7 linked regions of the Sus scrofa genome follow. The protein of the gene in region 2 purifies or fractionates together with the protein of the main gene of each other region. This does not show direct contact. Links are inferred from orthologs where the notes say so. Each region holds a gene or a part of one and is shown on either strand. Other genes may lie near its edges. The genes, in order: CDCA4, PPP2R2B, MYO9A, ECSIT, PPP2CB, PPP2CA and SERTAD4.

Region 1 (4,044 bases), on a different chromosome or scaffold from region 2:
TCATTAATTTTCTGGAATACAACTGCTGTTTTAAAAACCTGCTAACACCAACATCTGTGTTCACCCATGAGTCAATCTCTGTTTTCTGGTTTTTTCCCCATGTTTTTCTACCATCTTTTTGGTCTTGTGTCCCGGGATGACCGTTACTTTTTAATTTTATGCCGGACATTTTGGGCAAATAAGAGTGAAGGCTCTGGAAGACATTATCTTGCTCCAGAGCATCCTGGACCGTGGTCAGTCCGACAGCGTAAAACCACATCAAGCTAGCGCTGGCTCTAGTTTGCGTTCCCACTCGCAATTTGATCAAGTTGAGAGTATCTTATTTCCTTCGCTCTGTGTTAACATCTCTTCCCACTTTCCACTGGTTTGTAGATCTTGTCTCTCTGGCGGGTTATCTGTGTAGGAAGGAACTTAACCTTGCGTTCAGCCTGTGGCGAGGAGCCAGTTTCCTTTGGGCGTCCACCTTGTTTGCGGGGAAGTCGCCTATCACGGTCCCTGTCTCCGGCCCCAGCCCTGCAGTGACCCAATTGGACTTTCCGCTTCCACCTAGTCTGTTCCCACGCCCCGCCTCCTCCCGCCCCCCACCCCCAGCCTGCTCCCCGCCCGCAGACCCCCCGCCCCCGCCCCCAGGCTTCCCTGCCTCCTCGAGGTGTTCCTCAGACGCCCCTTGTCCTAGAGGCTTGTGCGAGCGGGGTCCCCACCTCCCCGTGCTTTCCTGACAGCACCGCATCACGGGACACCGCAGAACGCCGGCTCTGCACGGGTTATCACTGCAGCCTGCAATCAAGAAAGCTGCCAGAATTGACGGAGTCGGGATTCTGTATCCTATTTAAGACCTGTCCACTAAGAAGTTATTTTTCAAAGAAACCTCCCCCGCTTTCGACTTTTACGATTTAAGGGACTATCAAAGGAGCTGCGGCTGCCACGCAGCTGCCTCTCCCCTTTCGCCCCCGCCCCCGCCTCGCCCTCTTCCCCGCCTCTATCCGTCCTCTTCCGCCTTCCCCGCCCCGCCCCCGGGTGCCCGGCGCAGGCGCACTAGGGCCGCGCGAGGAGACCTGGGAGCCGGTGGGCGGGGCGGCCGAGGGCGCGGGCCCAACGGCCAACGCGGCCGCGCGGGAACTCGCGCGCCAGGCCCCGCCCGCGGTTTGAACCGGAGGCCCCGCCCCGGCTCTCGGCCAATCAGCGGGCGGGGCGGCCTGCTCGGCGGCTCTTTGTGGGCAAAGCTGCGCGGCCCCGCCCCGGCGGCTCCTCCTCCGGCGGCCCCGCCCCTCCCGGCGGCCCCTCCCTCCGCGGCGGCGCGGGCGGCGCGGACGGTGTGCGGCCAGGTGAGCGTCTTCGCTGGGGCCGCGGGCCTTTGTGCGCCGGCGGGACGGCCCGGCTTCTCCGTCTCGGGGCTTCGGGGAGGGTACGGGCAGCGGCCCGGGGCGCCTGGGGGGTGCTTGGGGGAAGGCCCGAGGCGTGGGACCCGGAGGGCCGGGGGAGGAGGGCCGCCGCGACCTCTCCCCCCGCCCGCCCGCCCGCCCGCCCGACGCGCGAGCCGCCACCTGGAACTCCCTGTGCTGCTGCCGCAGCCTCCACTTGGGCCGTCTCGCAGCGTCTCAGAAGTCGTATCGCCTTGGCTTTAACCAAACTGGAGCTTTTTCAGGAGGAGGAGGGACCCTTAAGAAGGGTCTGCGGGCTGCCTCTGCGCGGCACCCCGCGCCGTCGTCCTGCCTTTGACTTGGAAGGAGTCCGAGCAGGCCCTCCTGCTTCTTTAGCGGCGGCTGCCCCGGCCCCCACCAAGACGACCTGTAGGGACCCTGGCTCCTTGTCCGGCCGACTTGGAGTTACAAGCCCTGAGCGGAGCGCCCCCGACTGCCGCTCTCTGTCACCCCCATCCATCCTCCCGGCCTCCTTCCTTCCTTCCATCCGTCCACCCTTCTTTCCTCCCACCCACCCGTCCATCCGCCGTTTTCTGTTTCCCTCCTAATGTGCATTCCTTGCAGAATGAGGAGTGGGTGGGGGGTATCAGCAAGGGAGGGCTGGGATTTCCATTGGGTCCTTCTGGCAGAGCTGAGGTTTGCTGGGACTGTGTTGCCCTCCAGGCCGTTGCCTCTTTCTCTGGAAGCCCGAGGGCAGGGCTGCCTCCCTGTGGCTGGCTGCGTGCCCGTGCGTGTTGAGTGTAGGTTCTTTTCCTTATGTCTTGGTTTCAGCTGCTTCGAAAAGGATTGCTAAGGATATTTCGCAATAGTTTCCCTCCTCCCGGTACCCCTCTTTAAGCGGGTCAGGGAGTATCTGGGAGCAAATGATGCCAGCCTTGGGTGGCCTGAAGCTGGCGCTCTGCGTGTGTTCCCTGCCGTCTAGAGGAAGCAGGGAGGGCCGTAGGATGTGGGAGGAGACGGATCCCCGGACCCCGCTGCTAAGGGAACTTCTTCGCTGGGCTCCTTGTGCCTGCCCGGTCCGGCCTCGGTCGGATAACTAGGAAAAGTACCAGACACGCGCTGCCACAGCAAGCTTATTGCCCCCAAAGCAGGATTACCAGGAAAAGCGTCTGCCAGCTAGCTGTTTGCCTGGAGAACCTGTGGTCCCGGCAAATAGAGGGTTCCCCTTCCTGAGAAGTTTGCTGTTTCCTTTTCTGGGGCCCGCGGGGCCTGTGCACAGGGCCAGCAGGACTGAGTTAGCTGTTCTGTTAAACCAGCCAGAAGAGGTACTCTCCGTGACAAGGTTGCGTTTCCTATTGTGTGACCTCCCTACGTGCAGTAGCTCTTTATTTTCAAGTTACGCTGTGTCTTATAATTGCAGTTTCAGACTAAGCAGTCAGTCACGACCTTTTGCGTTTTTACAAACGGTGGCACGTTTTATCTTGGAAAGAGGGCTTCGAGTTTCCGTCAACTTGCTATTAAGCGCATTCCCAGGTCTGTATTTTACCCCAAGCACCAGAAGTCCCGGACGTCAAGATTAGCGCTGGCTTATGAGAAGAACCGAGACGGACAGTGGAGGGGTGACCCCCGCGCCCACTTGGAGGCAGTGACTCGCCTGCTCCATCTTCTCCCATTTTTCTCTAGTATTTCAAAGCAGATCTGATCGTGAGACGGAAACGGAGAATGTTCTTGCTGATGTGCCTTAACCTGAAGCTCAGGAGAGTGCTTGGCAGTGGCTGAAGGTCATGGTGAGAGTTTGGCCTTGGCCCTCCCAGCCTGCTGCTCTGGACCTGGGAGTCTGCATCTTCCACCAGCTCTCGGGATGGCTGGCCACACGGTGTGGGAGCTGCTGCAGGATAAGCAGCCTGGGCGTGACTGGGGTCCCCTTTGCCGGGGGTGCTCTGGGCGGGCTGCCCTCGGGCTGCAGCATAGGCCGCTTCCCAGATTAGGGGCCAAATCAGAGCTGCGGCTGCCCGGCCGCAACCACACGGGGTCCGAGCTGCTCCTGTGACCCTCGCCGCAGTGTGCAGCCACCCCCCTTCATTTCCCTCGGTGCGCTCGGCGCTTGCTCTGGAGGAGGCGAGGGGCAGGGCTGTGCCATCACCCAGGGCAGACCCTGCAGGCCAGCTGTCCATTGACATTGGAGGGTTTCGAGTGGCCCACGCTGAAGGCTCAGTGGGACTGGGGCATGGAGCAGACACGAGGTGAGACCTTGTGACGGACGCGGAGGTGCCAGGCGGGTGATGCGGCCTGTTGTTTTGTTTGTTCAGAACTTGACCGCCAGTGAGGCACTGCTGTCAGGACAGCCTGCGGGGAGCGGGGTCTGGGGTCTGTCACTGGGTGTTAGGAGGGTTCGGTGCCTTCAGGCCACAGTCCCAGGCTGGGCAGGGAGCTGGGACAGCCCAGCCTAAGGGCTCTGTGTCCCCATGTCTGCCCCAAAACATCTCTCAGGGGCTCTTTCGACCATGCCGTGTTCTTGGTCCCACGTACAGATGTCTGCGGGGGGGATCCTCATAGGCCACCTCCTGGGCTCAGCCTCCTCCAGTCCCCCCAGCATAGCCCCTGGGGGTCCGCTCTGGGGTGAGCACTGCCCGTGGGCTGCACCCTTCCTCAGGAACCAGTCCGCAGTGTGGCACAGGAACAG
Region 2 (3,126 bases):
ATTCACGGGTTACTGTTAATAGATTTTTTCTTAAGCAGTTGTTATTGTTCCAGTTTCCCTTCCATCTTAACCGAGATTCCAAAACTATACTTAGTAGGCACCTTCACACATGTGGTGTTTTTTGGGAACCTCCATATGCCACAGGTACGGCCCTAAAAAACAAAAAAGCAAAACAAAAACCTAAAAAGCAACATTCTTTCCATAACATTACAGTGTCTTTCCGTAACTCAGAAAATATTACTTGCACTGTAGTTGTGGTTGAGATTTTTTTCCCAAAAGAGTCTTTCTCTTGCTGTTTAAAAACTAATTGGGGAGCTCCCATTGTGGCGCAGCAGCAACAAATCTGACTAGTATCCGTGAGGATGCGGGTTCAATCCCTGGCCTCGCTCAGTGAGTTGGGGATCCAGCGTTGCTTTGAGCTATGGTGTGGGTTGCAGACACGGCTCAGATCCCGAGTTGTGTGGCTGTGGTGCAGGCCGGCAGCTGTAGCTCTGATTGGGTCCCTAGCCTGGGAACTTCCATATGCCATGGGTGTGTCCCTAAAAAGGAAAAAAACCCATGGGAGTTGTGGTGTGGGATGCACCGTTCCGCTTGTGGGTAGCAGTGAGGCCAAGTGGCTGAATGCTTGTGCCCTGGAGTCCAGCAGGTGTGAGCTGGAAGCCCGACGTGGGCATTGCTAAGCTGTATGACACTGCACGAGTGTCGGCTCTTCCTCCTGTGTAAACCCCTTTGATGGGTGATGGAAGAGGAAACGAGACTGGCAGGAAAGCAGTCAGCACCCTGCCTGATGAGGCCACAACAGCTTGCTCTATGACAGAGACACACGGTATCACAGCACAGGTTTCCTGCGCCAGGGGAACAAAACCTAATTCTGAGTTAATTCACCTGCACAGCCAACCAAGTGCCCACAAGCTTAGCCCCCTGGCTGGAGCCCAGTCCTGTCGGTTTCCCTGCATCTTCATCCAGCCCAGGGTGAGGTGCTCGGCGCTCCCGTCCTCATCCGCCACTCAGAGCCCCACCCACAAATGAGGCCGAGCCAGCCTCTCTGGGAGGTGCCGCCTCGGGATGCTGCTTGAGGGGCCTTATCTTTCCCTCAGCCTGTCACCTTGTCCACACCGGCACCGTTAAAGTGTCAGCTGGTGGCTTCTGGAAGGCTTTTGGCATTCACTGCTCTCTTAACCGGTTAGAGATACGCCTAAGTACGGATAACTCGTATAGAAATGCAGAAATCATCTGTCAATGCACCCCGATCCTATGTCCTCATCTTTCAGCCTTTCAAAATGTGACTTTCTGTTTGCTCCCTTCCCAAGGGAGACCACGACAGCATCCACTTCTTAGGTAAGTGTTCGGGAGAGGCTGAATTTGGAGCTCGCTCCTGGCAGGGGGAGAACACACGCGGGTGCACTGCTGCACTGTCGGCATCTCTCCCTCAGTGCTGATGCAAGAAAGCCTTAGCAGTCAGGCAGCACAGAATCCCACTCCCTCCCCACATCCAGCCTTTAAATATGCACAATATGATGGCTGTATACTGCTGCATCCCTATGCCCACAACTTCACTCCAGCCTCAGAATCCTGACGTGAGGGAGGGGGCCTGGGATCATTAAGTCCACAGGACTCATTGATGGAGCCCAAGAGCCAAAAGGCATCCATCGATCAGCAGCAAGGAGGGGTATCACAATCCTTTGTTTGCAAACCTCGCCGAAGAGCTCGTTGCTCTTAGCGGTCCCCAAGAAGCTCAGCAGTCACACTGCAGAGCCTGTGGAGGTCTGGGGTTTCGGGTCTGTCTTTAGGAGAAGGTCCGGTTGCCAAAAGCTGGCCTCCGCAGGCTGTCGTTTGTCCCTGAAAGGCTTTGTCTGTGGCACTCAGGTCCCCTTTTCCCTCTCTGCCTTGCAGTGTCATCATGACGGGCTCCTACAACAACTTCTTCAGGATGTTTGACCGAAACACCAAGCGTGATGTCACCCTTGAGGCCTCAAGGGAAAACAGTAAACCCCGGGCGATCCTAAAGCCACGCAAGGTGTGCGTGGGGGGCAAGCGGAGGAAGGACGAGATCAGTGTCGACAGCCTGGACTTTAGCAAAAAGATCTTGCATACAGCTTGGCACCCCTCAGAAAATATCATAGCAGTGGCGGCTACAAACAACCTCTATATATTCCAGGACAAGGTCAACTAGAAGGACGCGTTAGTACTTAATAATCTCACACACTGAATACTAGTCAAAACACTTTTTAAATGTTTCTTTGGGTGTTCGTTTGATGCAGCGACATTCATTTCCCTACACAGGAAACAACTGGAATAGAACTCATTGGATTCCGACTTTCCCAAATCCTCAGTTCTAAGAAACTTTTTGTCAAACCCAGTAGGTTCTGGGACACTCCTTCCTGTTTAGAATTGAGAGCTGCCAGCTAACCGTAATTCTTCCATAGTTGACTTGAATTTCTGATGCTTTTATTGCCCCGTTTTTCTCTGGTGGGTCCCGTGTTTTGTTTATAGGTGTCTGCTGAGATAAAAAATGAGGTTGTCTGTAGTATTTAAAGAGAAAAGAGATAAGTTTTTTTTTTAATTAAGCAATTCCACTTGATTGAAAAAAATTCAACGAAAAAATAAAACACCGTTTACTCTAAGAGAAATTCTCCTCTTTTTGTGAAAAGTCAGCACCAGTCAGCATCTTCTGCCCCTAAAGCCCTTTTATTTCCCCCCCCCCATTTTCTTCTTAACAGTTTCCTGTGAGCCAGGGACTTCTTTCACGAGGCTTCGAAGGGGACACAGAATGCGAAGGGAAGGGCCACATGGATGCCACTCTACCCTTTTTTGTAAGCGCCATAGAAACAGGCTGAGAATTTGGCTGGGCAACACCGTGATGCTTCAGGGGACTTAAAGAGAATGCTTTCTACCCAGAGCGTCTCAGACTTAGCTTGGCGAGGCCACGGCGGGGCGGGGGCAGAGTCCATCTGCAGCTTTGTTACTCTTGCTTTTTTGTCATTTTCAATGGCTCCATAGAATCCTCTACTGACATGTGCCTTGGCCTTTTCCCGTCAACCTTTTCCAGACTATTTATTCCATTGACGCTTGAAGGCCGCGTCCCGGTTGTTTATACTCCGGCCTCCTAAATGTAGTAGTGGCACC
Region 3 (3,942 bases), on a different chromosome or scaffold from region 2:
CTAATCACTCCATGGAAGCTCAAAGGTTCAATGAGAAATTCAGTTTATCCTTTTTTGCAGGTTCACAAAAGAACCATCAGGAAATTTTTTTAAATCCTGAAAATTACTTAAAACTTATATATATATATATATATATATATATAAGTTTCCCTGGTAGATCAGCGGGTTAATGATCCAGCATTGTCACTGCTGTGGCTCGGGTCACTGCTGTGGCATGGGTTCAATCTCTGGCCGGGGAACTTCCGCCTGCCATGAGCATGCCAAATAAAATAATAAATAAATAATAAAAAAACACACACATAGCAGCTGATACATTTAAGAGAAAAGCATGCAGCAATGTTAATAAAACCAAAGACTGAAAATAACCTCAAGACTACCAAAATGATATACTATCCAGCCAGTAAATGAGGCACTTCCAAATGTACAACCGTTGAGTGATCTCTAGGATCTATTATTAAATGGGGGTGGGGGGAGAAGGGTAGGGGGAAGCTATATACATTCCATCTAGTACACAAGCATTTGTGGTGTTTTAAGAACATAAATACACGAGTTCCCTCGTGACCTAAGTAGGTTAAGGATCCAGCGTTGTCACTGCTACGGTACAGGTCACTGCTGTGGCACAGATTCAATCCCTGGCCCAGGAACTTTTGCCTGCTGCAGGTACAGCCAAAAAAATATATATATTTTTACACACACACACATAAGTGTGTAGACCTGTATGCTAGAAATATCGCAAGAACAACACACACAAAGATGGAAATAGTGGTTGTTTCTAAGGAGGGAAAATGGATGGTTGGAAGATACAGGGAAAAGAGAAACTTTTTACTACATACTCTTTTGAACCTTTTGATTTTTATACTATGTCTAATTATGACCTATAATTTTAATATGATTTTCTCCTTCCTCGGTTCCACATACAAAAAATAAAAAATTTTAAAGTACTGACTACAAAAACCTCTCTATACTTCATCCCTATACCAACGTTAAAATTATGCAGTGATCATCTGGTGTAAAATTACATTTCCTTCTTGACAGCTCAGGAGTTCAACAAACTATGTTTTACTGTTTAACTACTGCTAATAAGGCTGTTGATAATGACATTGGTGAACACTGCAATGATAACTGTACCTGCCTCTTGAAAAAGCAAGTCAGCAGCACCAGGTAGCAGAATTTTATTATTAAACTGACATCAAAATCTTCAGAAATTAAGGAAAACTACAAATCTTACTTTCCCAGCAAATTCTAAAACAGCAAATTCAAAAAAAAAAAAAAAGTATCTTGCTATCCTTCAAAAGCAGTGCAAAAGAGCTGTAAAAATCTACAAGAAGGTGAAACAAATGATACCACATGGAGACATTCATTACTGTTGTGTTAATTAACCCTTCCAGAAGTCCCTAAAATGTCAGATCTGTACTACCCCACACATTCTACAGAAGATGAGAAGCAGGCTGTGTGACCTTACAATAGCACACACCGCCTGCCCTGGGCTTCCATGATCTTCCATCTCCCTCTTTCTAAAGCCCGGAGACTAAACCTCCAAACATGAGTGTCAATTGGTCCCCTTAGCCCCGCTGGGGGGAAAACACTAGGCTAAGCAAAATGCCTTCAGGATTTCACGGCAAAGCCCTTTCAACCAAAGAAAGGATCACGACCTCGGAGAAAGATATTAAGGTCTGCCTAAGGAAAGGAGGTCTAGAAGAAGAGGCCGCTGCTGGTGTCTAAAGAGGAGCTGACACCAGATTTCTTGGGAAGTAAGAGCATCATGAAATAGACTATCTGAAAGACGAGTTGAGTAAGGGAAGAGCTTCAGCTAGGCGGTGAGCAGGTCCGCTAGGAAGAGGAGTGGGCAGCGATGGATCTGCCTTGGAGCTGGGGGTCGCAATGGGTTTAGAGGGCAAGCGTAAACGGATCTGAGGAACTGTGATTGGGTCAGCTCACAGGAGGATGCAACAGTCTCGAGGCCCCATTTAAGAGTACTACGAGAGTCCGAAGAGGGTTCTAGTGGGGTGTGATGGGGTGAGAGGCCCGAGACTAACACCAGGAGAGGTTGGAGCGCCGGAATGGTGCCTGGCCAAAGGAATACACGATGGGTGGGGTCCACTGGGTACCCGGGGCAGCGATCGGGTGTCAGGGAGGCTCCAGCGCAGACTAGCTCGCGGGGCGTCTCCGCTGGGGCGGGGCGGGGCGGCCCCGCAGGAGCCAAAGAGAGAGACCGAGACGTGGGCCGGGCTGGGCGGCAGGGCCGCTGGGCGGCTTGGGCGGGTCTTACCTCGGGCTCCGCCGCGGTGGCCACCGCAGCCCCCTCCTCTTCGGCGGAAGCCGCCTCCCAAACTCGGCCCCAGGGTCAGGCCGGAGGAGACAGCAGAGGCCAAGATCACCAAGGGTCGGACGGCTCCGGGAGGGTGGGCCCAGCTGCCTTAGGGTCCGGGCGAGCGGCCGCCGCGCATCCCCCGCCCTGTCAGAGAGACTCCGCCCGGCCTGGGCAGGCACATCCCCGGCCGCACCCGCCCTGAGACCACGCGTTCAGTCGCCGCCTCAACCGCTACTGCCGCCTCTGCGGGTGTCGCGGGTGCCTCCACCGCCGCCTCTCACCACCCTTGCTGTTCACTCAGCAGCCACAGTCAACCGCCACCACGTACCAGTCCGCTCGGGCCCGCGCGCCCCCGACCCCGCGCACGCGGCCCCGCCCCGCACGACTCCTCAGCTGCAGAAGAGCAAGCGCGCGCGCACTTACCTCCCACGCCCCCTACCGCCCTCGGGAGCCAGCCTGCTCGCCCGACTCCGCCCCCGCACGTGATGCCGCCAGCAAGTACAGCATGCGCTTGCGTGGACACGCCCCATTTCGTCCGCTTCAGGCGGCCCCGCCCAAACTTTTCTTCCTCACCTTACGGCAGAGTTGGGAACTCTGCCTTAGGTTTTATCTCTTCTAGAGAGGGATGTCGCAATGTTGGGCTAGAAAACTCTGGGTTTACGACTGCAGCTCTCGCTTTCCGGCCAATACCGAGGTGCCTGAAGGCTGGCTGGGGAGGTGAGGCCCGAGGCAGGTAAGAAGCCTCCTCCCCACTTCGGTTTGTCGGTCGGTGTGTCTGGGCAGGAGATCGTTTTGCCGCCCACGCAGTTCTAGCGTCTCCACACCCACTCCCCAATTCTGGCTCAAAATTCTTAGCGCCGCCTCCTTAGCGCCCCCCCCTCCCGCCCCCGTTTCCACACACACACGCCCTTTCCCCAGCATTTCCCCGCCCCGGACCTCCGTTTCCTAGTACTTCTTTCTTTTCATCCCTCAGACTTTTTACTGAGCACTTTCCGTGCATTAGACTCCAGAAAGTCAGAAGCAAATGAAATAGTCTCAAGTGTTTCGAAGTATGTTGGAGACGATGAGAGAATCCTCCGTGATAGTAAAGTAAAATTATAATAGAAAAAAAAAAAAAAGCACAAGGTATTCTTTGAGCGTAGAAGAGGGACCACCTGATTGTGTATGACTTGAGGAAACCCTCTGGGTCACTCTTAATTTGTGTTAGAAAGCTAATGAGCAGTAGCTGGTTAAAGCGGTATAAGAGATAGAAGCAGAGGGAATGATGGGTACAAAAATATTTTTGACAGTACTGGCGCTGAAATAAAAAGAGGAATAGAATACAGTTAGCGAAAACCACGTGGCGTAAGTTACTCACTCTTTGAGTAATAAAGAGTTATAAAGTAATGAGGTGAGGGACAAGCGTGTGGGCCAGAACAGTGTTTTCTTTTAAGGTGGTTATGAAGTGTACCATAACCAAGATGTGGACAGTTTATGAGTGAGAGTGGGTAATTTACAGAACCAGGAGCGGTAGTGGAATTAAATCTTGTATGCACATTAGAGTCACCTGGGATTCTTTTAAAAAGTAAAACCAGGCGTTCCCATTGTGGCTCAGCAGTAATAAACCCTACTGCCCTCCATGAGGATGCAGT
Region 4 (4,183 bases), about 78 Mb from region 2:
TGTTGAGGCACAGTCATAAACACACATTGTCATATACTGTCACTGACATACCGATGGTGGAGGGGCACCCATACGAGTCACACCCATACAAGTCAGGGACACACAGTGTTACAAACACATACCAACAGCTGGACACAACTACATAATGGAATCCCACATCAGAGACCACCCCAGATTGGCATTGTCAGTCAGACCTTTATACCACCGCTGAGACACAGAGTTTCACACACACACACACACACACACACACACACACACACACACACGAAGTCAGAGATTCATATAGGTACAGGCACACACTGGTAGACACAATCACACACAGATATGTAAAGGGCTATAACAGTCACATGTGTCTTGATGGTGGGACAATCATTTATCCACAAGTTGGGGACACATGGGGTGTCATAAACACAGTCATCTACCCACTAGTGTTCAGACATGCAATCACACACACATTATTGCATGGACCATCAAAGAAATGTTGACACACCTAATCCCAGCCCCTCAGAATTCTGGGACAAATTCCACATCCTTCCACACACACAGAATGACAGACACCCAGAAGCTGATACAATCACAAGTGCACATGCAGCTACTGACACGTGGACACACAAAGTCCCACATGTACCAATGTCCACACTGACACACGTGGGGACTATCCCTGACCTACCCTCATACAGCCACACACAAACGTACACACCTTTGTTTGAGTTCTGAGAAACTACGAAAACCCATGAAAACATCCACACTCTATCGCAATCTCACACACACATACGCACACACACACAATTGTGAACATGCACACTACCCTACAGGATCCTCAACCGTCCAAGCGAGGGAGGTGGAATAAGGTATTAGTGTGAATCCCCCATAATAACAGTAGCAAACGCTTACATGGCTGTTCTGCATAGATTAACTCCATTATTCCATAAAACAAAGCCCAAAAAACAAACAAAACAAAAAACAAAAAACCTCTACGAGGTTATTATAATTGGCCATTTCAGAGGTGAGACTATTGAGGCACAGACAGGTTAAGCACTAGTCCAGACTCCAGGAGCTAGATTAGCAGTCCTTCTTCTTCCCTAACGTCAGCGCCGAATCAGCGCCTGGCACACAGTAAGCCTTCAAATGTTCGTTGAAAAAATGAGGGAATCCACATTACTTAGACCTTTAATATTTCATTCCCGTATTTCAGGTGGGCACTAGGACTGTCAGTTGAGTTCACCCGCTGCCTGAGTCCAATGTCCCAGCTCCGAAACCGCACAGTCTCTCCTTCCCGAACCAAGCTCGCTCATTCGTGGGGAGTCCAGCTTGCCTCGTTAGGGGAGGGGCCTGACTCACCACGAGGCGGGGCCAAGGTCGCTGCGCCTTTTTATTGGTGCTCCTTTCTTCGAGGCGGGACCTCTCTTAAACTGGCGCTGTTGATTTGCCGGCTCCCTGGTGGCCCGTGACCCAGAAGATCTTCGTGCAACATGGCGGCGCCCAGGGGCAAGACATAACCGGCCCGGATTCCGCGGCCGTCCGCGTGAATAGGTAGGTCCCACGCGGGGAGGCAAGCGTGAATTTATGAGCCCTGGGGCAGCCCCTTTGGGGCCAGCAGCGCGGAAGGGCGGCCCCAGGAGGATCCCGGCTGCCGGGGCCAGGGCACCGTGACCTTTTCGGGTACACGGCGGGACGTTCCGAGGAGAGCTGCCTTCTGTGTACCCGCCTCCCCACATCCCTAATCTCTAATCTTGGAGATGAGACAGCTGAGGCTCAGAAAAGTTAAAGCCGTCTCCCAAGGTCACGCCACAGGTTGGCAGCTAGGCTAAAGTTCGCTTCTTTCTCCCAAGGGCGTCAAAATCCTAGCAGCCAGCCTCAGAGCTGCTGTAGGTACACCCTGCCTAGGGGTTCAGATTTATAGAAGCTTTGTAGAAATTTAGCTCTTCTTATTCATTTGATATTTGTTGGGTACCTACTATATAGCAGGCACTATCCCAGGTGCAAAAGAGACAGCAAAAAGGAAGACAGACAAAAATCTCTGGTCTCAGGAGAGCTAGACGTTGAACAAATCAGAAGTAAATGAAACGTGACTTCAGATGCTAATTGCTAAAAATTCATTCATCAGGATGATGGGGCTTTAGATTGGGAATGGGGCAGTAGTCAGGGAAGGCGTCTCATTTGAATATAGACCTGAATAACCAGGCACAGCAATGAACTGACCTGGGGAAGGAATTTCCAAACAGGGAAAAGCAACCTCAGAGGCTCTGAGACTAGATAAAGTCAGCTTGTTTAAGAAACAGCGTAATGGGAGAGTTCCCTGTTGGTCTAGTGGTTAGGATTCAGAGCTTTCACCTCTGCAGCCTGAGTTCAACCCCTGATCTGGGAACTGAGATCCCACAACAAGCTGCTGCACACTGCAGCCAAAAATAAATAAAAATTAAATAAAATTTAAAAGAGAAATAAATGGTGTAGCTGGAGCTTCCAGTAATAACAGTTGAGTTTGGAGGGATGGAGCCTGTCTGATTTTTATCTCATGTGATGTGCAATTAGTGACTTTAGCCGGAGAACACTTTAGTTTACATTTTAAAAAAGCTCCCTATGACCACTTTAGGGAGAACTGGCTGGAGGCAGGTAAGGAAAGGAGTGTGGGTAGATGAAGAGAGGTCATGGACTGGAGTTGTGGCTTGCAGATGGAGAGAAATGGGATTGTTTGAGGTGGATCTGGATGTAGCAACATGAGCAGCTGATGAATTGGTTGGGGAAGTGAGGAACACAGTGGACTCAGAACCAGGTTTGTGGTTGATTGACTAGGAATGATGGTGTAATGACATCAGGCAAGGATGAGATGGAACAAGTTTAAGCAGGGGCATAAGTTAGGCGCAAAATAAGTTTGAGATGGCTAGGTATACACCAAAGTGGCAGTTAGGTATGGAAGCTGGAGCTCAGGGATGGTGATAACCATTGGGAACTATCAGCACATAGATCTTCATTTCTCAGACTTTAACACACATAAGAGAAATGTGGACTTTTGTTTAAATGCAGATTCTGCTTCAATAGGTCAGGGTTAGGGCTGAGATTCTGCATCCAAATAATGATGCCAATACAGCTGCTCCCTGAATAGCAAAGGTTTAGATTAAGGTCTAATCTCAGCTGGATGTTAGAGTCATTGGAGTGCTTTAAATGCTGATGCCTGGGCCCTACCTCTAGATATTCTGATACAATATATCTGGGGTATGGCCTGGGCATGTGATTCTTTAAAGCTTCCTAGATAATGCTGAAATGAACAAGGTTTGAGAACTATGAGAGCTGCCTACAGAAATACAGAGAGAACACCTCTCTTGGAAGCTGAATGATACCTTACGGTAGCAGACAGACAAGTTCAAAGTGTAGGACTCTTTGCAGCATTATTACTCAAAAGACAGCATTAAGCATCACATAGAAGTTTGTTAGATTAAAAAAGTCTTTGGCTCCACCCTAAACATTCTGAATCAGAACCTGCATTTTAACAATATTCTCAGCAATTCATCTGCACATTCAAGTCTGCAAGCACTGCACACTTTAGAGAAGGAAGCCAGTCTTTCTGATTGGCTGAGAAACAGGCCTGGGGGCTAGGAAGAAAATCAAGAGTGCCAAGGTGGGAGGAGGGCATCACCCATTCCAGATACTTCTGAGAAACTGAGCAAAATGAGGCCAGAGAAATAACCACTGGCTTTGTTAAATGTAGAACGTGCAAGGGGTCTTTACAGGAGTGGTGTCAGTGGAGTGGCTGGGACAAGAGCCAAACTGGAGACAGTGAAGAAGTAACATGTAGACCCCTCTTGGGAAAAGCTGTACTATAAATAGAGCAGAGATGTGGAACAGAGGTGGAAGGAGATGCTAGAGAAAGTTTAAAGGGTGATATGAGTGATCCAAGTATGTACCAACTTATTTTATGAGGCCAGCATTACCCTGATACCAAACCAAACAGACACAATAAGAAACAAAAACTACATCCCAATATCCCTTACCAATATGGTTGCAAAAATCCTCAACAGAATACCAGCAAACCAATTTTGGCAACATAAAAAAAGATTATATACATCATGACCAAATGGAATTTATCCCAGAAATGCAATATTGGTTTAATATTTGAAAACCAATTAATGTAATGTACTTTTCTTTTTTGGTCTCTTTGGTCTTTTTAGGGCCACACCCGCAGCAT
Region 5 (4,230 bases), on a different chromosome or scaffold from region 2:
AATTTTCACTTAAAAATTCATGCTTAGTGGGCAAGTACAAATATTCAAAGAAAAAAAGTAAGACATAAGGTTAGATATATCTCAAAGGTCCTAGGGATTGGTAGTTCAATTCAGGAGCTAAAGTTAAAATAATCTCTCTGGACAAACACAGAAAGCTTCCTCAAGTGATTAGGATTCAAGTGTGGTTGAGGGGTAGAATATTCTTCTCCAGAAGACATCTTAAATTTATTAGAGAATTAAAGGGAAAAACTGATTCAACTGCCAACTTTGTCCATAACTTCAAGTCTTTATCTACTGTTCACAGTGAGGTGAACTGACTCAGCTAATTTCAGAACTGAATGTTTCACCTGACACTGGAGCCTAAGAGAGCGTGAATTAAAATGTAAATTCTAAGACATGAAATTACAGGTTATCACACAAGAAAACTGAATGTGGAACTTGAAGTGGTAAGTAAACAGCCTGTTTCAGGGAAACAAAAATACCATTTGCTTGGCAGTTCTATTTACAGAAATACACTCCTGTGTTAACAAATAGTTATTTAACAGACTCACAGATACAGAAAACAAACTTATAGTTACTAAAGAGGATAGCGGGGGAAGGGGGTGAAGAGGTAAGTTAGGAGTTTGGGATGAGCACACAAACACACGACTATATATAAAACAGGTAAAAACAAAAATGTGCTGTACAGCTCAGGGAACTTTATTCAATATTTTTGTAATAGCCTATAATGGAAAAAAAATCTGAAAAAGAATACACATATATGTGTGTAACTGAGTGACTGCTGTATACCTGAAACTAACACAACATTGTAAATTAACTATACCTCAATTCTAAAAAGTTACATATGTATGTAGACCCTAAGCAACAATACATGTAACTAAAAACACTATTCTTGGGAGTTCCCACAATGGTGCAGTGGGTTAAGAATCTGACAGCAGCAGCTCAGGTCTTTGCAGAGGTCCAGGTTTGATCTCTGGCCCACTCAATGTGTTAAAGGATTTAACTCCACAGCTACAGTTTAGATTTAACCCCTGGCCCAGGGAACTTCTATATGCTTGGATGCGGCCATAAAAAGGAAAACAACAACAACAAAACAGCTATTACTCCTCCATTCCTAAGATGCTTAATTTTAAGGGTGTGCTATAAACAACATTGACAAAATCTTTCCTTCTTCAATGCTTTTCGGAGGCATCCCGGCTTACAAACACAATGATCAAGAAAGTCTTATGGGTCATGGCTTAAAAATACAAACCAATCAAAAGCATTAAAGAATAAATAACTTTGTTACTCCTTCATATGAACCTTTTTACATAAAAATGTATTAATATTATTTAGGCCAAAAAAAAGGTGGAATGAGAAAAATAAACTGTAAAATCTGAAATAATTCGAGGTTAAGAAAACAACGAATATAGGACTCAGAAAGTGGCCTAAAATCACACAATCAACAGCGACTGTAAACAGTTAATTGCCTGCATATTTTACTACTTTTTGGAAAAAAACAACTTAAATATGTAATAGAAATAACTTTCTGAAAAGTGTTACCCTGCACGTAAAACACGTACCCATTGATCATTTCATGCAAGCAGTGTTGCCAAACTTAAGACTAGCCGTCCTGTTTCTGAAAATCAACATTTTTGCTTCCAGAGAGCTTCTCAATTGAAGAAGACCAGTCACCATCTGTCTCAACCAAAGTCAACTTCTATTTTAAAAATCACAGTCCGCCATCACACCCACCTCTCTATAAACAAATGCTTGATACATTTCAACTCGATGATTTCTGAAGGACCGAGTCACCTGAGAAAACGGCTACGTTTATTATATCAAGGGCCTTGAGATTCACAACGTCCAGGTTCATTTTCAACTACGAGATTGCCTAGATTACCCTGCCAGCCAGCTAAAGCGCGGATTGCTAGTCCGCACGGAAATACTGGAGTGTCAGCAAAACCCAGAAAACAGTCGGCGCCCCAATCACTCCAGGAGTGGATTCCGGGTGCCACGTTGCCCCCGCCCACCTACCCCGGACCCCTTAGGCCAGGACTGGGAGCTTCCAACCCCAGCCGGGTGCTGGGTCTCCAGGGGGTCCAGGAACAGCCCGGCTCCTCCCGGGGGAGGCTGCCCGAGTGGGAGACGCAGCCCCGCAGGTCCCAGACGGACGCGCCGGACAAGGGACAAGCAGGCCAGGAGAAGAGGTGGGGGGGAGGGGGGGAGGAGAAAGGGGGAGGGGAAGGAGGGGGGAGGGGAGAGGAGGGAGAGGGGAGAGGATAGGTCCCAGCCCCCACCCAGCCTGTCGCACGCCGGCCGCATCTCGCCAATTTTCTCTCTTACCTTTTCGCATAGGGTCCGCACTTGGTTCTCATTAAGCTGTTTACACTCGTTCAGCTGCTCGACCCACTGGTCCAGCTCCTTGGTGAACGCCTTGTCGTCCATGGCGACCCGAGCCCCTCCCCCGCCGTCTCCCGCCCCCCTCCCCGCCCGCCCTCGCCCCTCGCGCCGCTCCCCTCGCCCGCCGCCGCCAGCTCCCAGTGGGAGAGGAAGGAGTGGGGGAGCGCGGCCCCGGACCCCGCGCCCCGCCCGAGCCCCGCGGGCGGCTCCTGGCGCGCGGCCTTCGGGAGACCCCCGCCCGCCCTGGCCCGCCGGGCCGCGCGCCCTGGGCGTCACTGGAGGGCGCGGGGAGGTGCGGGACTTCCGCGCAGCTCCCGCCGGATTATGGCCACTTGCCGCCGCCGCCGCCTCCCGCCCGCCCGCTGCTCTGGATTCCCTTGCCCCTTCTCTCTCGCTCTTTCTTTCCCCTCCCTCTGGGTTTCCGTCATCGCCCGGGCATTTCCGCCGGGAAAAGGTTAGCAGGCGGTGCCGCCGGAGCCCGGGACTCGAGGAGGGGTACAGCGCCCCCGTGTGGCTCGGCGGAGAAACGGTCCCTTTCCCTTCCATCTTGCACTTTATCGACCAAGCTCTCCCAGTTCTTTCTTTACATAATTTTACGCAAGTCTGTACCCACTATAGTTTCCTGCAGTGCTTTTTTCCCCCTTTTTTTCTTCTTTTTATTTTAGCGTTCTGTAGAGGGGATTGGAAAGCTTGTCCCCCTCCTTGACAACATTGTCTCCTCAGAATCTATCACTCTCCCATAGCAGGTGGTCAACATTTGTTGAGAAAAAAAATAAATTCTTTCTAGTCTTACCTCTGTTATGAACTAGCTGTGAGGCACTGACATCTCGAATCCCCCCTTTCAGCATCAGAAAGATGAGATGACAGCTCTGTGTTTTACCAATCAGTGTCCCAGCTCCCTCATCCTCCACGGAGTTGACTGCAGTGTTTACTGAATTCTCATGATTTGTTCATGCAACAGATACTTAATGAGCAACTGCTAACTGCCAGATCTCTTGAACAGCTAATGCTTACCAAGTTGACTTCCTATATTATAGTTGCAGATTATTGCCACTGAACCCAAATGGGAGGCAGCCTCTTGTATCTGAAGGCAAGAACTCCCTCCAGCTCCCTCTTGGCATTGCTAGCCTCCCAGCCAGGTCCTTGGACAATCACCAAAGCTCCCCCAGCCTCAAGTTCATCATCTGTTAAAAGGGGGCAATAAGCCCTTTTCAGGTTATCATGATTAAATTCTACAAGTGCTTATCCAACAGTAGAGTTTGGGAGCCATGTTCCTCTGTTTCTTGCCTTATCCCTCCTAGGCAATAGCTACAGAAAACTTTAGAAGGGTGGCATTTTTTTTCTTTTCCTTTTGCAGTGGTTTGCTGCGGGGTCTCAGTTCTCAGACCAGAGACTAAACCCCAGCAGCATCAGCGAAAGGGCCGAGTCTTAACCACTGGACCACTAGGGAAACCCTGAGAGAGGTGGCATTTCAACTGAATTTTGAACCTTCTCCCTAAGCAACACTTTGGAGTTCCCTGGAAAAGAGGAAAGGAGTTCTCAGGATTTTGGGTTTTTTTTTTGGAAAGTGGCGGAGAACAAATGTGTGCAAGACCATGGTCTCTTTGGAAAGCTACAAATACTCCTAATAACCGAAATAGGTCCTATGGTGGAAAATAAGGCTGGAAGAGCTCCTGTTCTCAAGTGTCTTGTAAACAGCAGCAAACCAACTGCAAGACAGAACATGAAAAGGTGGTAAAACAATACGTACAGAATAGGAGGGGTATCTGTAAGATTGCAATAGATTTGCAGTCTCTGAGGAGGCTAGTCTACAAAGGTTGAAAGGAGGCTGTTTCAGCTACACCTGGT
Region 6 (4,287 bases), about 11 Mb from region 2:
AATGAAAAAAGGTTTTCCACTCAAGATTTTCAAAATATACAGGTTTTGCCAGTTGTGCTATTGGCCACACAAATATTAATAGTGAAAAGAGAACTTTTGTTTCACTAGAAAGACTTACTATACCTAAAAAACTGCCTTCAAGTTAATTTATTTTGGAAGGTTAATACAGTTCCCAAAGACGGAATACTTACAAATTAAAAACAGTATGAAGGCTATGTGACAACCTCCAAAAGGACCCATGTCTTGAAAATCTAGCATCAAAGATATATATATATATATATATATGCTCCAAGAATTAAAATCTTTATACAGTGGATGAGCAATGGGGATTTAAACATAAACTGATTAATCTCACTCCATCTTGATATTACAGAGACATAGCAAACAATATTTACCAAGGGGATCAAGCTTCAGTCCCCCCACCATAATTCCAATATCTTCTGCTGTCTCCAACACAGACCCTTTACTTCTGTGGTCTATCTACTACAGACTTCCAACCAGATTCAAGATCCTTAAAAATAAGCATGATTATTTTTCATTGCTTTTCACTCCTCTCATAAAAGTAAGCAATCTTGGATATCCAATAAGTGTTCAATATTTAAATACAGAGTACTATTTTAAAATGCAATTGTATAATCTCAAATGATTAGAAGGAACCCTGGAACATGTTTTAACTCTATAGACAAGAAAATGTGGACCAAGTGAAGTGATTGCCTCAAGGTCACAATTACTTGGTGGCAGAAAAAGGACCAGTGTCCAGGTCTAACTCACAGTCCAGTGGTCTTCCAACCACATCATTACTCTGTTGCAATGTTTGCTACACAAATAACTAGTCATCTAGCCAACTGCTGACTCAAAGTCTTTATATAGAGTTAAGTACTCAACTCTAAAAATCTTTAAAATCATCACTTACAGTATCCAAAAACTAAGACCTAACACTATACATTAAACAATTTTTAAAAGCCCACTTCCAAAACTTTAAACAAATGTCATTTTCATCTGATGTAAAAGAATTAAGGATCAAGAAGCAACAAAAGGCTCTACATTGCCAGTATTAAAATTCAGCTCCAAGAGATGATGTGCCACCTCATCAACTAGAAGTTTTGTTGAGGCTTGGGATAAACAAATCTGAATTAGACTTACTTAAATTGCAGTAATTCACAGAAGAGTTTCTGAAAAAGCCTGTTTTAGGAGCGTATATGTCAAATTTACGAATCTAATTTTCACATCAAACCACAAACGAGTCAGCGTAATTGCTTTCTAATAACTCTCTTCACTAATACAAAATGTTGATGATACTCCACCATTCTGTGGAACTAAAGATGCTGCAGAGTTATTTTTAAAAAGAGAAGTTGAAACATTCATGGTGGAGATCAGCATTTTCTCTACTTTAGAAAACTGAATTATAAGACTTAAACAGGCTACCTGTTTCCCCAACTCCTTGGGAAAAACAAATCAGAATTAGGTCATTTAAAATGGACTTCTAAAACAGACTACAACATTCCATTTTAAACGTTTGTGGGATTTAAACACTAAACACAATGACTGGAATACAGCAAAAGCTCGATCAACAGCTGTTAATATCATACTTACTACTTAAAGTCACAAATATACTAACAACTTTTCCAGCAGAGAGCAAGGATACAAAATCTGCTGGTCTTAACAGTTTATGCTGCTCATTTAAAAAACAAATGGCAAAATGCCAAGAACCTTAAGCTTAAAGAAGGGTTTCATACTATCCAATTTGAGTCAGCATATAAATCAGAGATTAAACTGACACTTGATTTCCAATCCCAAAGCTCCTATGTAGAATGACTCACCAAAATGTCTAATTCTTCCAACTATGAAAAATAAGTTATACTCCTCCCTATAACTACCACCATGACCTTCATTGAAACTTAGATTAAAAGCTCATTTAAAAATTCTCGAAAAAATGTACTAATAAGTCTCTGGAAAACACAGCTCGAGAGGTTTACCATAAACCACTCAAGACGATGCTAAATCTGCGTGACCTTTATTAGATAGGTCCCGGGATCCGGCCTACAAGCTTGCCTCTGGGGGACCCTCTGGACAGCTCTGGACCTAAGCATTCGGCCTGAGTACAAGTAAGAAACCTCCCACCAAACTCACAGAAGAGTCCCAGGCCCCATTCCCAGGCCGTAGAACCTAAGACCTCGTGCCCAGATATCAAAACCGTCCCTGACCCTTACTCGCAGGGTCTCCGCTCCCCCGCACCCTCCCCCAGCCACTTCGCTTCCAGCCAAGGCCGGGAAGCTCTGAAGCCCCGGAGTCGGGTGAACGGCGCCATTTTAGGCGGCGGTGGCAGCGACAACCAATCCCTGCGCGGGAGGCAGGGGGCGCCGGGTCGTCCGGGAGCCGCCGCCGGGCCGCGCCGGGGGCCGGTCTGGGAGGCTCGGGGGCCGGGGCCGCTGGCCTCCGCCATGTTGCACCCTCCCCGCGGCCGCTTCCTTCTCGGCGGGCTCGGCCCGCCCCGGCTCCCGAAGCCGGAGTGCAGCTCACCTTCTCGCAGAGGCTCTTGACCTGGGACTCGGACAGCTGCTTGCACTCATTCAGCTGCTCGATCCACTGGTCCAGCTCCTTAGTGAACACCTTCTCGTCCATGATGCCACCCGCCCGAACCGGCTGCCGCTCCGCGCTACTCCCGCGCCGCCGCCCGCACACGGGCCACACGCACACGCTGCCGTCGGCCCCCGGGGTACTTGTGTGGCTGCTGAAGGCTGCTCGGCAGTAGCGCTGCCCGGTTGACTCGCCCCTCGGTGTTCGGCTACCGGCCACTGACCTCCTCCGCTCGCTCTAGCCTTGGAGCTCGGCTCTGTAATGGCGGCCGCCGGCGTGGTGACGTCACGCCCGGCGTCAGGAGGTGGCGGGGTGAGGAGGGGTAGAAGCGCCGGGATACGAGCTGCGCAACTGCCGGGCCGGCTCTCATCTGCGGCCAGACCCGAGCGGGGGCGGGAACTAGGGGCCAGGGCGCAGGCGCGTAAAGTAGCCGGCTGGAAACAGGCACCTTCGCTTTTAGGGCGCGGTCCTGTAGAAGGGAGGGGCCGAGGGGGAAGGGAAGACCGAGTCCAAGCAGGGGCCTTGCTTATAGCTGGGAAGTGGGCTAATCTTAGAGCACTAAATCCTGCAGGGTGTAGTTGCGGACCAGGCGCAGGCGCAGCCGGGGTGCGAGGGTGGCTCCTTGTTGCCGGAGACTTTTTCCCTGAGGTGATACGCCTCGGCTCCTCACCTGGCGACTGCCAAAGCACGGAAACGAGAATTGGGCCCCGTGGCTCCTCCATTCTACAACAGCACTGGAATTGCTGCATCTTGGGAGCAGGAACAGGCGCCGAGTGGTAGCCAGGTTGGAGTAGCCACCCCTGCCTCCGGGTGCGGCCAGCACCTTGTAATTAGGTCAGTCGTAGGCGGAAGAGGGTGTACCTGCAGTACTGCGCAGTGCACCTGACTCCCCAACACACCTGTCCCCGGGCCTCGATGTCTCTTCTAGCGCCATGGCTGGGGCCTCCTAGCGCTCCTGGCTTCCACAGGCGCCGCTGCAGTCTTGCCATTGTGGCCTTCCCCCCTAGGTGGGCGCTTTCCTCCGACTCCGAGCCTCCAAGGGAAGAAGAAAACGCCCCCGACCCCACCCCCACCAACCGTCTGCCCACTCAGGCCTTCTTTCTAGAGGGAAGACCGCAAGGAGATGGACGCACCGGTCCTGATTGAGACCCGGTAGTGTTAGAAGCGGCTGTGATGTGCGCTTTAAAGAAAGCTCAGATACCCTAGGATCGGACCTCTGGCTATAAATCTCTTCGAGATTCGTGAAATGTATCCGCATTCCGTTGTCCTTGCATTCGCAGAAATATTTGGCTCCGTACACCGCCAGTTATGTTCAAGATTCATGCCCGAAGGACAGAAGGGTCATACAAACAGAGGTACCCTACCCTGACGGAGCTTGTGTACTTCCTGGGATGATCTGGGGATAGACAGGCAGAAGAGCCCTTCACAAAAGCAGGAAGATGAATGGCCAGTAACACAAGGGTAGTAAGCAGGGAAATGAAAACCACAGATTCCAGGTTTGACTCTCACCCATTTGGCAAAAACTGTCAACATCCAATGTTGGTGAGGATGTGGAGCAATGGGGTCTCTTATACACTGCTGTACTTTGGGACAACCACTTTGGAAAATCTGGCATTATCTAGTTAAGGTGTAGATGGGCACAACCCATGCCCAGCTCTTCTTCTCCTTGTTGTTTTCCCTAGAGAAAGTTTTGCACATGGACTTCAGGAG
Region 7 (3,500 bases), on a different chromosome or scaffold from region 2:
ACCACTCTCTACTCATATTGTTGACTGCTGCCCTAGACAGGTATGTTTCATTACGTTCTATCCTAATTTCATCTGTCACATAAGACTGTTAAATCCACACACTTAACAGTACCATGAAGCCATTTCATCTAGCTCCCTGTCTTCAGTCTTTTTTTTAGAAAAAAAAAAAAAAATACTGTATCATGTAGAAGAAGCAGACATCCTTTGCTGGTTATATCAATTTGCTTACCAAAGAACTACCTAATTAATTGGCAAAGATGTGGGGGGGTTCTTCGCCAGTGACAGGCTCCTTGGGGGTCGGGGGTAGTAGAAATATCACAAGGGCCACATTGTTCCCCCATCTAATCTACTAATCTTTTCTGTAAGAAAACTAAGATATACTTTTAAGCGTTAAGTCAACTGTTTTCTTGGTACTGTCACCACATTTATAAGTAGCGCGCTGATGCCTACGATACAGATGTTTCAGGCAATCTGCTCTCCAGGCATTAAAACGACACGGCATGTTCGTGGCATAATTTTATCAGTTGTACAAAACTATAAAATCCATTCAAAATAAAATTTCTGGGCGCTAATTGATCATGCTGCGCATGCGTCGGGATTGCGGTGAGAAGATGGCTCAAATTTTACTTCCTTTGCTGCAACACAGTTTGTTGCTCGGTGAAGGCTCCTTCTTCCTTATGGACTTTTTCCAAGACTCACTTACATTGTTTTTTTCATTATATCCAGTCTCAAAATAATCATAAAATTGGCCTTTGCACTCAAAAGCAAGGTCATGTCCCACGGGTTCATGGTTTAGGGGGCCGCCATCCCTGCTGGTGTCATCGTCTGCTTTCTCATCATTTAATTTGGCCTTTTCCTGAACACCAAGCGACCTGGCATTCGTAACAAAGATTTCATTGGCAGGTATCTGGCCATCGCCCTTGTAGAGAGGTGTGCTGCCTACATCAAAATCCACCTGGTGGGAGCAACTCGGTAAAGGCGGAGGGGGAGAGGGAGAGGAAGAGGAGGAAGAGGAGGAGGAGGAGGAGGCACTTCCGACGTTAGCATTGACAGACAGGGGTAAATTTAGGTAGTGACCACCACATTCTTGGTAAAAGCAGCAGGCATGAAACTTTTCACACTCCTCTTTGGCCATCCGAGGTCGTTTTCGGTAAGGACAGTCTTGAGCCATAAACCACTCCTGGGCGGAGGCGCCATTGAAAGAGCAGGCGGGAAAGCACCAGTTATTCTGCATGATAATCTCCCCATGGATTCTTTTCATCAAGTTGTTGATCAGGACCGATCGTCGGAGGTACACCTCAGGGTCATCGATAAACTTTAGCTTTTCTAAGGACATATAAAGGATGTGCGCGCGCTCCTCAAAGATCGAGATGGTCTACAAACCAAAACAGGAAGAGACAGCTTAGGAAACGGTCTATGTTCAAGTGGCATGGGGCCCATTTCCCTCCTGGCAGGTTCGGGGTCTGGGAAGGTTGTGGTTCCCCCCCAAGTTCGTTTAGAGATGCTATACCCCTTGTGTGGCTAATGAACACTCGTCCCAGGAGACTCGCTGGTGAGGTGAAGCCCTGGGGAATCCAGCCCCAGGGCAGACCTCAGCAGGGACCGGTCAGGATGCCTGGGCAGTGAGGGGGATGGCACCCAACTCATCTATGCTCTTAGAAGTCAGGAGGGTGGGTTCTTCGGTGGGCAGAGTGACCAGAAAGGGACATAAGGAGAGGTTATGAGTTGCTGGGTATGTCGCTTCTTTATCTGGATGCTAGTTACATGGCTTTTTCCCACTTGGTAAACGTATTAAGCTGGACTCCTTTGATACTCGTGCCTTGATGTGTGTGTATACAAATCACACCCACCCACACCTAGACGCATATGTTACATGTCGGTATTGTATATTGTATGTCTTTTTTTACAAGATGCCAAGATGTGGGTCATCACAAGTATACTTCAAACCCTGGCCATCAAGGACCGTGACATCTGGCTTTCAGCACTGTCCGTCTGTGTTTCACTCTTGCAATTACCTTTGCTTGACAGAGGGACAAAGATAACTAACGAGGCTCAAACCCTAAAAGGACCTGTCGGTTGAAGGGCAAAGGAGGCTCTTTCTGGAGTTGGGCAGAAGCGCTGCAGAGAAGGAATCAGAGGACTCACTCCTGAGCTGTGTGAATTCCATCACTGTGTGATGGTTCGTTCAAATCCAGCAGCAATTTGGAAGACTGTTCTGGCCACAACACAGAAACTAAAAAGGAAACAAACCGCTTGTGTCCTGGGGGCCAGCTCTTCCAGGTCATAAAAAAAGCCAACCCGAGGATCTGTGATTTAAACCAAAGGCAGGAACCACACATGCAGGGAAAAGCCCAGCACCTGCCAATGCATGCTGGTGTCTTTTGATGAGCAGAGTCAAACGCAGTATTTAAAAGGTGGGGGTGGGGAGAGGGAGTAAGAGGTGAGAGAGAGGAAGAAGAGTTAAAACCTTAAAAATCCTCTCTGCTTCTCAAACAACTACGGTCTGGCTTATCCTCTCCTCGATTAAATCAGCAGATAAGTTTTTGAAGAAAGATAACCACGAGGAAAAGGAACTGGTATTTCAAAAGCTCAGCTGGCCGGTTTCATACTTCTCTGCACTTTTCCAATCCTGTTGTTTGCTTCCTACAGATGCAAAAGAGTTGGCTTTGGTCTTTTCTGGGGATGAATGACACGTTTGAACACACTCAACACCAGTGATGAACGCACCCTGAAGAACAGGTTTCTACTTTCGTGCACACACTTCCCAGGGATGGTGAGGGCGACCTCGAGAGGTCAGGAGAAGCCCTGGACCCCCATGCGGGCACACACATGTGGCAACAGGCCTTGGAACTAGAGGTCAGAGAGGGAGAGCAGGCCAGGAGGGAACAAGTGCACTTCTGCACATGTAAAAGCACCAATCACCTTGACCCTTAAGGTAACCTGAGACAAATGCAATCACTTAGTGAAAAAGACGGTCCTTGGACTATGCAATTTTGTTATTTCTGGGTAGAGGCGCTCTCGCTGGCTCCTTCAAATACTTGTGCAAAATAACACCAGGCCCCAAAAAGTGACAACGAGATTAACGTGGCTCCGCGAGCAGGGGCTCATTTTCGTTGCTTGGGTGGGACAATTTAATTTCTGGAAATGGATCAATCGACTAAGTATCTTAAACTCTTAATAAAAGTAACGACTATTAAAAAAACATACTTTATGGCTACAGCTGCTGAGTGGTGGGTGAAAATCCTCTTCTTCCACATACTTCCTCTTAAAGTATGTGATCTTGGATGTTGTTATAGGATTTGAAATTCCCCTGTAATGGGATCCTGTGGTAATAAATCAGATATGACAAATGACATGTGGTTTGCCAGAGGTTCTCCAAACAAAATACGTTCCTTTCCTTTCCTTCTAGAAGATAACGTGGCCACGTATTTGTCTGTACATGTGGCGATTAAAAATAAACATTTGTCTTAATAGTTGCTATCATACGGAATCCTGTGACC

Evidence for each region.
Region 1: the proteins of PPP2R2B (region 2) and CDCA4 purify together in Homo sapiens (affinity purification with mass spectrometry; 4 studies listed by BioGRID and IntAct, with this or other methods). This does not show direct contact. The link is inferred for Sus scrofa from reciprocal best matches to the Homo sapiens genes PPP2R2B and CDCA4.
Region 3: the proteins of PPP2R2B (region 2) and MYO9A purify together in Homo sapiens (affinity purification with mass spectrometry; 4 studies listed by BioGRID and IntAct, with this or other methods). This does not show direct contact. The link is inferred for Sus scrofa from reciprocal best matches to the Homo sapiens genes PPP2R2B and MYO9A.
Region 4: the proteins of PPP2R2B (region 2) and ECSIT purify together in Homo sapiens (affinity purification with mass spectrometry; 3 studies listed by BioGRID and IntAct, with this or other methods). This does not show direct contact. The link is inferred for Sus scrofa from reciprocal best matches to the Homo sapiens genes PPP2R2B and ECSIT.
Region 5: the proteins of PPP2R2B (region 2) and PPP2CB purify together in Homo sapiens (affinity purification with mass spectrometry; 5 studies listed by BioGRID and IntAct, with this or other methods). This does not show direct contact. The link is inferred for Sus scrofa from reciprocal best matches to the Homo sapiens genes PPP2R2B and PPP2CB.
Region 6: the proteins of PPP2R2B (region 2) and PPP2CA purify together in Homo sapiens (affinity purification with mass spectrometry; 4 studies listed by BioGRID and IntAct, with this or other methods). This does not show direct contact. The link is inferred for Sus scrofa from reciprocal best matches to the Homo sapiens genes PPP2R2B and PPP2CA.
Region 7: the proteins of PPP2R2B (region 2) and SERTAD4 purify together in Homo sapiens (co-immunoprecipitation; 3 studies listed by BioGRID and IntAct, with this or other methods). This does not show direct contact. The link is inferred for Sus scrofa from reciprocal best matches to the Homo sapiens genes PPP2R2B and SERTAD4.

Annotation. Positions count from the first base shown.
Region 1 is NW_018084979.1:3,193,364-3,197,407, reverse strand, and holds the start of CDCA4 (cell division cycle-associated protein 4), read left to right. Parts: upstream 1-1,244; 5' UTR 1,245-1,325; intron 1,326-1,327; exon of another isoform or gene 1,328-1,405; intron 1,406-1,516; exon of another isoform or gene 1,517-3,148; intron 3,149-4,044. UniProt on the Homo sapiens protein: May participate in the regulation of cell proliferation through the E2F/RB pathway. May be involved in molecular regulation of hematopoietic stem cells and progenitor cell lineage commitment and differentiation.
Region 2 is NC_010444.4:147,937,574-147,940,699, reverse strand, and holds the end of PPP2R2B (serine/threonine-protein phosphatase 2A 55 kDa regulatory subunit B beta isoform), read left to right. Parts: intron 1-1,893; coding exon 1,894-2,173; 3' UTR 2,174-2,626; downstream 2,627-3,126. UniProt on the Homo sapiens protein: The B regulatory subunit might modulate substrate selectivity and catalytic activity, and might also direct the localization of the catalytic enzyme to a particular subcellular compartment.
Region 3 is NC_010443.5:169,593,972-169,597,913, forward strand, and holds the start of MYO9A (unconventional myosin-IXa), read right to left. Parts: upstream 2,801-3,942; 5' UTR 2,735-2,800; exon of another isoform or gene 2,270-2,734; intron 1-2,269. UniProt on the Homo sapiens protein: Myosins are actin-based motor molecules with ATPase activity. Unconventional myosins serve in intracellular movements. Regulates Rho by stimulating it's GTPase activity in neurons.
Region 4 is NC_010444.4:70,167,963-70,172,145, reverse strand, and holds the start of ECSIT (evolutionarily conserved signaling intermediate in Toll pathway, mitochondrial), read left to right. Parts: upstream 1-1,383; 5' UTR 1,384-1,533; intron 1,534-4,183.
Region 5 is NC_010457.5:54,294,356-54,298,585, reverse strand, and holds the start of PPP2CB (serine/threonine-protein phosphatase 2A catalytic subunit beta isoform), read right to left. Parts: upstream 2,801-4,230; 5' UTR 2,428-2,800; coding exon 2,326-2,427; intron 1-2,325.
Region 6 is NC_010444.4:136,519,831-136,524,117, forward strand, and holds the start of PPP2CA (serine/threonine-protein phosphatase 2A catalytic subunit alpha isoform), read right to left. Parts: upstream 2,801-4,287; 5' UTR 2,623-2,800; coding exon 2,521-2,622; intron 1-2,520. UniProt on the Homo sapiens protein: Catalytic subunit of protein phosphatase 2A (PP2A), a serine/threonine phosphatase involved in the regulation of a wide variety of enzymes, signal transduction pathways, and cellular events.
Region 7 is NC_010451.4:132,738,444-132,741,943, forward strand, and holds part of SERTAD4 (SERTA domain-containing protein 4), read right to left. Parts: intron 3,324-3,500; coding exon 3,208-3,323; intron 1,376-3,207; coding exon 617-1,375; 3' UTR 1-616.